Linked DNA regions of Macaca mulatta. The main gene of each other region encodes a partner of the protein of the gene in region 2 in a complex. Links are inferred from orthologs where the notes say so. Each region holds a gene or a part of one and is shown on either strand. Other genes may lie near its edges.

Region 1 (3,991 bases), on a different chromosome or scaffold from region 2:
TAGGGCTATTTAAGAACTGCTGAACAGAAAAACAAAGTGGCAGTGAGAGGTGGGGGGAAGCAGAATTCTCATTTCCAGAGCATCACAAGGGTATATATATTGTGGCCCGCTTATTAGAAAGTTGCGAACCCGGCGTGGCGGCTCACGCCTGTAATACCAGCACTTTGGGAGGCTGAGGCCGGCGGATCAACTGAGGTTGGGAGTTCGAGACCAGCCTGACCAACATGGAGAAACCCCGACTCATGCCTATAATCCCAACTACTCGGGAGGCTAAGGCAGGAGAATCGCTTGAACCTGGGAGGCGGAGGTTGCAATGAGCGAGATAGCGCCATTGCACTCCAGCCTGGGCAACAAGAAACTCCGTCTCAAAAAAAAAAAAAAAAAAGAAAAAGAAAAAGAAAGAAAGTTGCTAATGACTGGTCAATTGGCAGGGGTCAGCCAGGAGTGGATCTGGAAGCTGGAGAACTCTCAATACGCCACTTCAGTTTATTGACGACATTTACAATTGCAACCGAAGTTAACTGATTTCTGCTAAATTGAAAGTTTGCGCTTTGCCCTTTAGCATGGAGGCGCCTGGAAAGAACTTCAATGAAACTGGGTGCATTGAGACCAAAGAAAAGAAGGGGACATTTTTTATCTCTCTGATACCTTTCTCCCCAGGGCTTGGAAACACTACTTAAACACAACCTCTGCTGTTGGTGTTTTGTAAGTACTACCCCTATGAGTAAAGCTAGCAGAGATAAGCTTCTCCTTGCAGGAAGGGAGCTGGAGAAGCGGAAGAGTTTACAGAGAAATCTCTACAACAAAGAGTTAACCCTTCCCGGGTAACCACTGATGTGAGCGTCTACTCCTCCTTTGCTTCCACTGCGCAACCAAACCATGCACAAGCGTGAATCAACCTTAGCCGTCACATCTCTTGCCAGTTAGCTTAACAGACACTTTTAGCAGCCTATCATAACTTCGAATTGCCCAACCCTCAACCAATTACAACTAAAGCTTGGGCTAGGACGCTCCAGGTCCGGGCGGGGGCGAATACCGGTTTTAGGAAAAGGGGCGGTAAAGAGCGATGACGGGCGGGTAAATTAAGCCAATCAGAGAGGAGAGCTGCCGCCCCATTATCCAATGGATAGGTTAGAAGTATGAAAGAGGGTGGGCCTGTTGTCATGGGGGAGGTGGTGGCGCTCGGTGGCCACTGGCGGCCGAGGTAGAGGCAGTGGCGCTTGAGTTGGTCGGGGGCAGCGGCAGGTGAGTGTCGGTAACGCGGGTAAGAGATCTGGTGGCCGTCGCGGGGCGGAATCTCCAGCTCAGCACTTCGCAGGCGGAGGTCGGAGGAAGGGGGCCTGGACTTCGGGTCTGGGCCGGGGCCGGGGCCAGGGCGGAGGCGGCGGGGGTGGCGGCGAGTTCGCGCTGACTGGGCTACGGGGAGAATGGCTGGGCTTCTGGCTGCGGAGTTCTCCCGAGGAAGGTAGGCTAGGGCCGGACCCACGCGGGTCAGGGCAGGAGGTCCCTTGGGACGTCCAGCTGCTCCGGTCTGGGGCGCTGACCGGCGGCCAGTGTGTGGGGAGTAGGTTATCTGAGGAAACGGAAGCGGCCAGGGTCCCAGAGAAGGGGGTGACCTGTAACGACCTGCTCCGAGGGCGGGGTGTGTCGGGAATACCCAGGACGGCTTGGGTGTCAGGGAGAAGGGGAACCCGGGAAGCCCGGCCGCGGCCCGTGTGGAGAGAGCGGGGTGGGGGGTGGGCGGCAGGGGAACTGGGAGTGGCCCCAGTCCGAGGGAGGTAGGAAGGCCGAGGGTGGCTGGGGTCCCGGGTGACAGGGAGCAGACTTGCTCCAAGTAGGGGCGTCTGAGGAAATGCTCGGAGGGGGTTGGGGACCCTCGTGAGAAAAGCGGCTGTCCAAGGGAGGGGGCTCCTGGGGAGATGAGGAGCAGCGGGTCTTCGGAGAGTCGGACAAATAGAGATCTTGCACCGCCTGGGGGAGGAACCGAAGCGCCCTGCGCCCCCATAGCTGAATTGGGATGAGAGACACAACTGGCCTGGCCGCTCCTGGGTCTAAGGATCCCTAGGGGACCAGGAAAGAAGTCCTGGAGGAGTGGCTCGGGTTTGAGACCGGGGTGAGGAGCCAGCAGGAAGTGGAAGTTCCCTCGGTTGGAGAGGAGTCCTGCAAAATGGGACGGAGATGAGCGGAGGTGGGGGAGAATCCCTATAGGAGGGAGTAGTAGATAAGGTAGAGAAAGTAAGTTGCCCGAGGAGAGAGCAATGGTTTCGTGGAACTGGCTAGGACAGTAGATATATGAGAAATTAACAGTGGAGCCATATAGGTTCACAGGTCTTCAGAAATAGAAGAAACTTCAGTTTCATAATTAATACCAAGATGACATCTAGGACCAAAGAAAAACTCCTAAAAGCAAGGTTAAGTGACTTGTTTTAGAAAAGAAATTTGTTTTAGGACGATGGCAGTAATATTAGGAAATAGGTTCATTGACAGGGTGGGGAATTTGAGAGGGAAAAGGGGAGGAGTAGCTGAACTAAAGGAGTAAAAGTAGATACTTGATCAGAAAGAGGATAGGCATACTCGGCTAAATTGAAAAGGAGTTTGAGTTCTACCACTTAGCTAAGTTTCTGTGCAGTTTCCTCATCAGAATACTAACAGTAATAGTTGCTACTTTATAAGGTGTTTTTTTTTTTTTTTTCTTGTCAGTACTTGTAGAGATTTTAGGGTAGTGAGTGGCACATAGTAGCGTGTACTGGATTGTTAAATAGAAGATAAAGACCTGATTTCTTCAATGGGGTGGCTCCCAGATATTAGCTTGCATCAAAATCACCTGGAGGGCTTGGTAAACTGTAGATTGCTTGGCCCCACCTGGGGGTTTCAGTAGGTCTGGGGTGGGGCCCAAGAATTTATATTTATCTCAAATGATGATCACGTTGGTCAGAGGACCACATTTTAAGAACCACTTACTTTAATGAAACCGGTAATAATGGTAACAACTTTAAAATACCTGCCAATCCTGCTAAAGGGACAGGTAGAGGCAAATTGCCCAAAAGATCCTATTATAAAGGATATCCATTTTTAAGCCTGTGTTTTTCAAATTGTGGATTGTGATTTATTAGTAATTTACAAAATCAATGTGAGTTTTTACCAGCATTGAAAATAAAATGTAGAACAGAATAAACTGACATTGCATTTGGTAAGGAAAAGTATTGTTTTGGGAAACTTTTCTCCTACATGTATGTACTAAGTCACAGTGTAAAGTGTATTTCTTTTTTTGAGTTCCTGGCCAAAGGATAAAATATATTTCTCAGAGTTAAAAAAGTCTGAAAGCTGGGCGCGGTGGCTCAAGCCTGTAATCCCAGCACTTTGGGAGGCCAAGGTGAGTGGATCACTTGAGGTCAGGAGTTCAAGATCAGCCTGACCAACATGGTGAGATCCCCGTCTTTAATAAAAACACAAAATTAACCGAGCATGGTGGCGCATGCCTGTAATCCCAGCTACTTGGAAGGCTGAGGCTGGAGAATTGCTTGAACCCCAGAGGCGGAGGTTGCAGTGAGCCGAGATCACAGATTGCACTCAGTCTGGGCAACAAGAGTGAAACTCTTGTATTACATTCCATTAAATTTCTTCAGTTTCTGATTTGGTTCCTCCTGTGTTTGTCTTGTCACATATTGTGTTATGCCTCTGACTCTGGAACTTTTTTGGATATTGAGAATCTTTGGCATGAGAACTTAAGGGAATTTGAGGCAGAGAAATTGAATGGTGTGTCTCAGATGTGGTCCGCTTTTGTTTCACTTGTGCCCTGTTGTTCACCCTTTCTTTTTTTATCACTGTACTGTAAAGCATTGTTTGTAAAAACCTGAGTATACACAGACATATTGACAGTAAACAACACTGAAATGGACTGGCTTGAGAAAATGTCATGTATAGAAAATAAGCAAAAACAAAGGAAGAAACATTGCGAAAAAGAAAAATGAAAAGATATTTCCTTTTTAGA
Region 2 (4,098 bases):
TACCCCAGGCCTTAATCTCTTTCCTGACTCTACTCCAAGATCCAGCTTATCCCTGCGGGCTGAGCATGCAGTAGATGCTCAGTAAATTCTCAGCGATCCCAAGGCCCCTTCTCCTACACTGCCTTTGGCATGTTGGAAGTCAGTTGGGGCCCTGTTTTAAGCATTATATTCCTAGCTTGTCGGGCAGCCCAGCCCAGGGCCTGGCACAAGGAACCCTCAGTATCCAATGCCAGCCAGGATTGGGAGGGGCTCAGTGACCAGCCAGTTGGGCCACCCCAGCTCTTTGCCACAAGAGGAAGTCCAGCCTGGGTTTGGACTCAGATCCTGGCCCCACCACTTAACAGGCTGTGTAAACTTGAGCAAGTCACTACCTTGCTTTTCCTCAGGTTCCACATTTTAAATATGGGGAGACCAGCTGTGTCCACGTGGGCTGGGTAGTGAGGATTAAAGAGGAGAATGCTCGTACGGGACTAGCCCTGGGCTGGCTCCTAATGTGTCCTGAATATTACTTGTCTCGGCCTGGTCATCCAGTCCCCTCTGGTGGAAGGCACAAGCCTGCCCAAGGCTATGTCTCAGGATGTGTGCGACTGCATGTGTCTGTGTGTGTGGCGGGGCCGTCCCCGAGGGTCGGACTCGATTCTGCCCGGACCAGTGCAGACCCAAGCACAGGGTGTGGCCTAGCAGAACCCACGGACAGGCAGGGCTCGGGGCGGGCGGGACGGCTGGGGCGGGGCGGGGCTGGGCTGACCCGCCCCTTGGGGCACGCGGCCTCCCGGCTTCTCCGCGGGTAGGTTTGCTTGCTTTTGGGGCCCTTCTCAAGCCACATCGCTAACGTGGTTGAAGTGGTGCGTTTCAGGGTGGCGCTATGACAATGCACTCCCCGTGCAGCCGCCATCACCGCGCCGCCTCCTCCGGCTCCGCAGTCTCCTGCCTGGCTTTCCCTTCTCCACCTCCATCTCTGCGGCGGTAAAATGCAGCACTCGCAGAGCGCCTGCGCGGCTTTCAAGCGGGGCGGCGGCGGCGGTGGCTATTTATAGTAGGTGACGTCACCTTGAAATAGACCGTTAGGGCCGGCCCGCCCTTCCCCCCTCCCACTCCAGCCGCTCCCCGCCGCCCGGCCTGGCCACTCTCACTGCGCAGGCGTCGTTTCGTCCTCCCATCCCCCAGCGCGACCGCCTCTCCTCCCTCGGCGGTGTCCGCGGCGCGAGCCACAGCGCGCGGGGCGAGCCAGCGAGAGGGCGCGAGCGGCGGCGCTGCCTGCAGCCTGCAGCCTCCGGGTCGGCCGGCGAGCCAGTGCGCGTGCGCGGCGGCGGCCTCCGCAGCGACCGGGGAGCGGACTGACCGGCGGGCGGGCAAGCGAGCCAGCGGCGTGAGGCGCGAAGCGAGGCCGAGCCGCGAGCGACATGGGGGACCGGGAGCAGCTGCTGCAGCGGGCGCGGTTGGCCGAGCAGGCGGAGCGCTACGACGACATGGCCTCCGCCATGAAGGCGGTGAGCGCGCCGGGAGCCCAGGCGGCTGGCCGGGGAGGCCTGGCTTTGGGGAGGGACGGGGATGGCCGCGGGCGGCGTTCCCCTCCCGGCCATGGGCGACCCCACGACCCGGCTGGGCGTGGCCGCCCGCGCTTCCCGCTCCCGCTGGGCGCCCCGCCACTTCCTGAGGCTGGGCCCGGGCTGGGGGATCCGGGAGGGTGCATCTCGGGGTCGCGGCGGCAGCCCCGTTGGGGGCGGGCGGGCCGGGGTCGCCACATCTTAGTTCGGATCCCGGGCGGGGGCAAAGGGTGCCCTAGGGGTCGTGAAGGAGCCGCATTCCTCCTACTAGAGCGTTTCACCGGACCCGGGGGCCCCCCCTCTCGTCTTCCTCCGTTCCCCGACTTGGAATAAAGAATCACCTAGTGAGTGGCGCCCTGTCTCAGCTGGTTTTCTCTGCTACGTCCTGAAGTCTGTAATTCCGATCTGTTTTGCTCTGCTTGTTCGAATTGTTCTGGTTTCATCTTCCCACTCCTGGGGGTCTGGCTTTGTGTGCGAAGACCCCTTTCCTGCAGTCTAGGCGTGGACGAGGGCGAGAGAGGGGGCGGAGGGTGTGGGGCCCATCACAGCCCCAGGTTTGCTGCTGCGCTGTCTGCCTGGAGATTAAAATGAAACGTGACTTCTAGGTGAGACTAATCTGTGTGCCTTTGCATTCCCGAGACCCTCATAAATCGATTCTGCAGCTTCTTCTCCGGTGGAGGAGTCGTGCCCAGCCACACCCTAGCAAAATACCGTGGGTCACACACCACCTGCATTTCTGAGTTCCGGTTACCATCTCACTCACTCTTCACGTTATTTTACGTTTTCTCTAAATGAGTATTTCCTCTCACTGTGTCAAGGTCACACAGTGATAGAACTACAGCTGCGGCCACCATCCTGCTATGTTCAGTGTACAACCTCCTGAGACCTGGGAGGAGCCCCTTGAACCCCGCCTTAGACCTACAGATGCAGAAATTCGGGGGTGAGACTCATATCTGCATCGTAACCAGCTCTCACAGGCGATTTTTAGCTGGCTTAAGTCTGAGAATTACTGCCCATGACTATAGTAAATGTATCCTTTGCTGGCCTTTTGGAGGGAGTTGCGAAAAAACTGCAAATACAAAGGCTCCCTAAAATCTTAAGTCATTTGGAAAGCTCATTTGAAGGCTGTTGACCTTAATGTCAGACAAAATATGTAGTTGGGGCTAATATTTAGGATTGTTCAGGTAAGAAAGGTACTTGAAGAGTTGCCTTTCCTGTGGTGTCCTTGTTACACACAACTGGGTGTGTTTGGAGACCAGCAACACTGTTGCCCGTATGTTGATTTGTGGGTGATCTTGACTTCAGCACTATTAGCATGCTGTTTTGGTGAGGCAGGAGGTTTTCTTCCAAACCGGGGGGCCGTCTAGGTCTGGAGGCTGAACTTCATGTAGTTCAGGGGGTCCTTTAAAAGAAAATCTAAAATATAATTTTTGCATATTGTACAGAAATGGGGCTGACTGAATGCATTTCCTTGGAAGGGATCCCGAACCTTAATTTTCTTTGGGATAAAGCTGCCTCTGTCCACAGCAGGTCACACTTAAAACTCTCCTCCCCAGTTACTGAGTGGTGCTGGGATTATGCAGGCTGAGGCCTCGCCACACATTTTCATGAAGTGGTTGCTCACCCTCTTAAGTGAGACGTAAAGACTGCAGTGTTAGGAGCCCTTTGGGAAATAAATGTGGTGAAAAGAAAGGAGGGACAAGGTTTAAATGAAGGGGAATGGAGGTGAAGGAAAAATGGCTAGAAGGTGCGTTCTGAAACAATCAGAAACCTGAAGCAACTTGAAATGGGGGAAAAAGGCAAGAATGGAGAGATGTTACCAGAACAAAATCTAGTTTGAGTAGAGAAAAAGATTGGCTTTCTAGTAGGCTTGTAAAATGCTTTCCTGCAGCTAGCTACTAGTGTCCATAGATCTTCTCTGGAGGGTTAAGGTAGCCTTTTGTAAACCAAAGGAATCTATAATATCTATATTTGAAATAATGAGTTGGAAAAGCCAGCCAGCATTGAAGAGTCAATCCAAGCTTTAATTCTGCCATCTCAGAATTGTGATAAACCATTTCTCCTCCATCATCTAAATGTAATATATTGTGCTTATAGATATTTTCTTTAAAAGAAAAATAATATGTTGGAAAGGACTGGCAGGAGTCACTTTCCCTGCTAAATTGGTGTTTGTAGATTAAATTCTTAATGTTGGCCGGGCGCGGTGGCTCACGCCTGTAATCCCAGCACTTTGGGAGGCCGAGGCGGGCGGATCACAAGGTCAGGAGATCGAGACCACGGTGAAACCCCGTCTCTACTAAAAATACAAAAAATTAGCCGGGCGCGGTTGTGGGCGCCTGTAGTCCCAGCTACTGGGGAGGCTGAGGCAGGAGAATGGCGTGAACCCGGGAGGCGGAGCTTGCAGTGAGCCGAGATCGCGCCACTGCACTCCAGCCTGGGCGACAGAGCGAGACTCCGTCTCAAAAAAAAAAAAAAAAAAAAAAAAAAAAAAAAAAATTCTTAATGTTACTGGGATGACTCAGTCTCTATTTTATTAATCTCTTTTGGAAAA
Region 3 (4,025 bases), on a different chromosome or scaffold from region 2:
TTCTTTGTTGGCTATTAACCCAGCGGAGACAATATGTGGCTATGGTAGTACTTGGAAGTTCTAGCATTACACAGACTAGCTTCCATTTCTCTCTAGAGGTCATTTTTGGCATTTAAAACACATGCTTTTAGAAAACAGATTTGGATGTATGTAAACACAGGGTTAATCCACCACACCCTGGATGCTAGGGCTATTGACAAAGTCATGCTTTGCAGATTTTAAAATAAACTTTTTGTCACTCTTGCAGCTTGGTATTTTCCCCTCCTATTTTTTCACCCCCTCTAAATAAACCTCTTTGTTAACTAATTGGTGTTTCTGGATCATAGAAAATAGTGAGTTTAAAATACAGCATATTTCCAAGCTAACTACAAATCTGAGGACAGTTTTTCGACTGTGCACCTTTCCTTCCATTTCTTAAGTCTTTTTTGGTCCTTTGCAAACATGGCAAGATTCCATATTTGTGTCCCAACTGTGGTAATATTGCTGACTTCGTACTGGAAAGCAGTCAGCTCTAGGCAGCATTTCTTCTGCATGGTATTTAAGTTAAATTATTACCACACACAAAAAAAATCCACATGCACTCCCTTCTTCAATTTTCCTTTTGTTTTTTGTTGTTATTGTTTGTTTTTTCGTTGACGTTTTCTTTCCTACCTGGCATATGGGAGACAATGTTTTCTCCAGCTGGGTTCCTTTTCTCTGGTACTTTGGTGTCTGCCAGTCATGTGTGAGCTACACACACGTATACACCTTTTAAATGAAAAATGCTGTGATAGCAGGAGGCCAACTGGGTGTGTAGCACGTCGCGCTCCCTCCCCTCCCTTTAGCTATTTTGTTACTTGTAGATCCTGGTCTAATTATTTAGCATTAAACGGACACTAACTCTGTGGGGTGTGTAATCGTATTTATAGTACTGTTTTATTAGTTTGCATTCCATCCTGGTAGTGTAGTGATGTCATAAATAACAGAAACATGGTATCCAATGCTTGGGAAGGGGTTTACCCGGTGGCCAAGCCATATTTTACTTGTCGTTATTCCATGTGTGGTGGGAGGTGGGGAAATACCGTGTGTGCTGTTAAACATGCCAGGTCCCTGCACAGGTTAGACAGAGTCCCAGCGCTGTGCTCCATTGGGAAAGAAATGCCCTGTGAATGTGATGTGGTTTAGATTTATAGCAGCGTGGCTTGCAGTGTGTTTGCTGCCTTAGTCAGCTGTGAGAGCGCCCTGCTGGGGCCACTCCTTTCTGATGGAAAAGCAGCAGCTGGGAAGGTGCTGTTTCAGGCTCTTGCCGTTTAAAAAAAAAGAGCGAGTGGGGGAAAACTCCTCTAAGTCCAGAAGCTGGCATTGGAGGGGGAGAGCGCGGTCATGTGGTTCTGGCCACCCTACCCTCTGTCACAGTGTGGATGAGAGCTTTTTGCTCTTATCCAATCATGCCTGGAATGCCGCTTGCCACTTGGGTTATTTCTGCTATCTGTCGCTCCTGGTGCCGCAGTGCTAACAGTTTGGCAGATGGGACACTTTTTCTTGGAGTTTGTGTCTTTGGTTTGTGACTTCTGGCAGTGCCGGGCCTGTTGTTGCCGCTCGCCCTCGCCCTCCTGGCCCCCCTGGTCACCATGGCCCATCGGCTTCGGTTTCATTTTGGCTCTGGTCGCAGCAACACAGCCCCCGAATCAGAGATCCTAGACCAGGAGAGAGAAGACGACTTCTTCATGGCATTCCACACCCTACCACGGAGGAGCAGCCCGCACCCCTTCGCCCAGAACGTAGGGGAGGATGGCGACGGAGGCCTGCAGGGAGGCGTGGGCGCGCTCAAGCGGAGCTCGTCCATGTTCATCCCGCAGCTCCTGACCAGCATCGACGCCCGCCCCACGTGCAGCTCCTCGGTGCAGATCTCCCTGCAGCGCAAGGCCGCGGACGGGGCCACGGATGGGTGCGGGCCGCCCGAGGGCGCCGACGATGGGCCTCCGTGCGCCACGCCGGACCCCGGGGACCAGGCCTCCGCCACCGCCACCGCCACCACGAGGGCCTCGCCCCAGAGCGGTTCCCGGGAGCCCTCGCCGAGGGACACCCCCGGGAACTCCCCTCCGAGGGCAGCCCGGGACCCGGGGCTCCAGGTCAACGGCACGTGCGGCGGCCGCCGCCGCGTGCGGTGCCCTGGCCCGGTGGACTGCCCCGAGGAGGCTGCCCCGGGCCTGCGCATCCAGCACCGCGCCTCCAGCGCCGACGTGCGCCAGGTGAGGCTGCTGCCCCTCGGCCCGGATGGCCAGGGCGGCCCAGCGGCGGCAGAGCCCAGGCGCTGGTCCCTGCAGCACGTTCCAGATGCTTCTGGAAGCTCCGGGAAGCGGTGTTTTGTCTTCCAGTTGCAGCAGCCCCAGCAAGGCGCTCTGGGGTCAGGCAGTGACCTCAACTTTGGCTTCACGGGCACAAAGGGGGACAGGTTGGTGAGGTATCCCCGCATTCGGCTGGAGAGGAGCACCTCGTACCCCACGCAGCCCCGAAGCGAAAGAGGGAGCCCCACGGAAGATCGGGGAGCCCCGGAGGCACCGCCTCGGGCTGGCAGGATGGCTCCCGAAATCCGCAGGACGAACTCCGCAGAGAGGACTCCGCAGGGCCAGGGGTGCACATTTAAGATCAGGCAGGATCAGAACGCGGGGCAGCAGCATTTTAGAATTCTTGTAACCCGGGGGCCGGAAGAAGCTCCCCAGAATCCCGAGGAGAAAAGCGCCAAAAGCCCTGTTTCCACGGGAGCTGACGCCACGGTAAGTTCACGGCTTGTTTACATGTGTTTACTGATTTCAACTTCGATGCTTACTCTGCGGCGTAACCAAAATAAACCTCACCCTCTGTCCCGGGAGTTTCCCTGCTTCAGGCCAGCGGATCTGAATGTTTGGCCGAGTTCTGGCACGATGATTTGTGGTCCAGAGTTTGGTGCGCAAAACACCATTTCTGCAAATGTCTTCTGTAGGTCCTCAAAGTCAACCAACTTTGTCTGTTTGGGAAATCCAAGCAGAATACCTTCCCCCTGCTTTTATTTTTCTGAATAGAAGAATTTTGAGTAAAATTTATTACTTTAATCTGCCAAAAACCAAGTCAGTGCCCCAACATGTTGATGGTGGAAATGCATTTAAAAAGCTGCTTGCAAATATAACCTGCGACAATACTTTAAAAACAATCAGTTCTCGGAAAGGTGAGGATATTGCAAAGGACCTGAGTTTCGTCTCTTAATAGTTAAAGAAGGTGAATGTAAAGTTTGGTGAAATATGATTATTTGTCATGGCCTTTTTGCTGAGGGGGTCAGGTCAGTCGTTGTTATATAATTCGCTTTGGGTTTTTTTGTTGTTTTTTATTTTTTTTGTCCCATTAAGTAATACTGAACGAGAGTAGTGTCACTTGTGGCATAGCGACATTACTGTCCCACAAGTGACACTACTGAGATACTAAGAGATGTGTTTTTAAAACAACTGGGTTATGGCCCAAGGCTAGGGGAAACTGACGGGGACTCATTAATGGTCAGATGGCATGCCGTGCAATTTAACACTGTCCACTTGAGTGTCCAAGCCGGGGATGCTGTATATAGAATAGTAAGTACCCTGTCTCCAGCTGTGGAAATAGACGCCTTAGAACAGATTCTGGCCTTCCTGTTTCTCTGTTCCTGATCGCTCCCTTTCAGTGAAATGGAGTACAGGGAGACAGCTGCACACTCCATCCGACCAGGCATATGATGACTCTGCAGCTTTCGTAGAGTGGGATGAAAAGTTTAATCAGTTCGGTTTCTTTTACTAGTAATCACTAGCCAGTGAGTGCTTTCTCTTAAAGAACAAGCTCCTTATATTTTGAATTGGATATTTTTTTCTCCTGAATTTCATGTGACTGCCAATTTGAGGATACGATTAGTAAATGTCTAGGGGACTTTTTGTTTGGATTTCACTTGTGAATAGTGATTTAGAAAAGTGAGTGTCTGAGTATTACTCTAGAATTGTATTGTCTTTTATTGCTTTGTGTTCAGAAATACGTTTCGTGTTTTAAGT

Evidence for each region. Proteins that work in one complex are often made in the same cells at the same time.
Region 1: the proteins of YWHAH (region 2) and NUMB are in contact, whole or in part, in a crystal structure (PDB 5YQG), measured with the Mus musculus proteins. The link is inferred for Macaca mulatta from reciprocal best matches to the Homo sapiens genes YWHAH and NUMB. Residues at the interface, in NP_035868.1 of Mus musculus: Arg57, Arg132, Tyr133, Leu177, Asn178, Val181, Glu185, Ile222, Leu225, Asn229; in NP_001129547.1 of Mus musculus: Gln274, Gly275, Ser276, Phe277.
Region 3: the proteins of YWHAH (region 2) and NEDD4L are in contact, whole or in part, in a crystal structure (PDB 7NMZ), measured with the Homo sapiens proteins. The link is inferred for Macaca mulatta from reciprocal best matches to the Homo sapiens genes YWHAH and NEDD4L. Residues at the interface, in NP_003396.1 of Homo sapiens: Arg12, Glu15, Asn39, Asn43, Leu44, Ser46, Val47, Lys50, Arg57, Lys125, Arg132, Tyr133, Gly174, Leu177, Asn178, Val181, Tyr184, Glu185, Leu221, Leu225, Asp228, Asn229, Leu232, Trp233; in NP_001138439.1 of Homo sapiens: Pro444, Arg445, Ser446, Leu447, Ser448, Ser449, Pro450, Thr451, Val452, Thr453, Leu454, Ser455.

What each region holds. Positions count from the first base shown.
Region 1 is NC_133412.1:146,638,774-146,642,764, reverse strand, and holds the start of NUMB (protein numb homolog), read left to right. Parts: upstream 1-1,191; 5' UTR 1,192-1,245; intron 1,246-3,991. UniProt on the Homo sapiens protein: Regulates clathrin-mediated receptor endocytosis. Plays a role in the process of neurogenesis.
Region 2 is NC_133415.1:19,557,410-19,561,507, reverse strand, and holds the start of YWHAH (14-3-3 protein eta), read left to right. Parts: upstream 1-1,298; 5' UTR 1,299-1,403; coding exon 1,404-1,490; intron 1,491-1,888; exon of another isoform or gene 1,889-2,026; intron 2,027-2,484; exon of another isoform or gene 2,485-2,562; coding exon of another isoform or gene 2,563-2,577; intron 2,578-2,704; coding exon of another isoform or gene 2,705-2,820; intron 2,821-2,836; exon of another isoform or gene 2,837-2,862; coding exon of another isoform or gene 2,863-2,873; intron 2,874-4,098. UniProt on the Homo sapiens protein: Adapter protein implicated in the regulation of a large spectrum of both general and specialized signaling pathways. Binds to a large number of partners, usually by recognition of a phosphoserine or phosphothreonine motif.
Region 3 is NC_133423.1:22,744,215-22,748,239, reverse strand, and holds the start of NEDD4L (E3 ubiquitin-protein ligase NEDD4-like), read left to right. Parts: upstream 1-1,225; 5' UTR 1,226-1,610; coding exon 1,611-2,756; intron 2,757-4,025. UniProt on the Homo sapiens protein: E3 ubiquitin-protein ligase that mediates the polyubiquitination of lysine and cysteine residues on target proteins and is thereby implicated in the regulation of various signaling pathways including autophagy, innate immunity or DNA repair.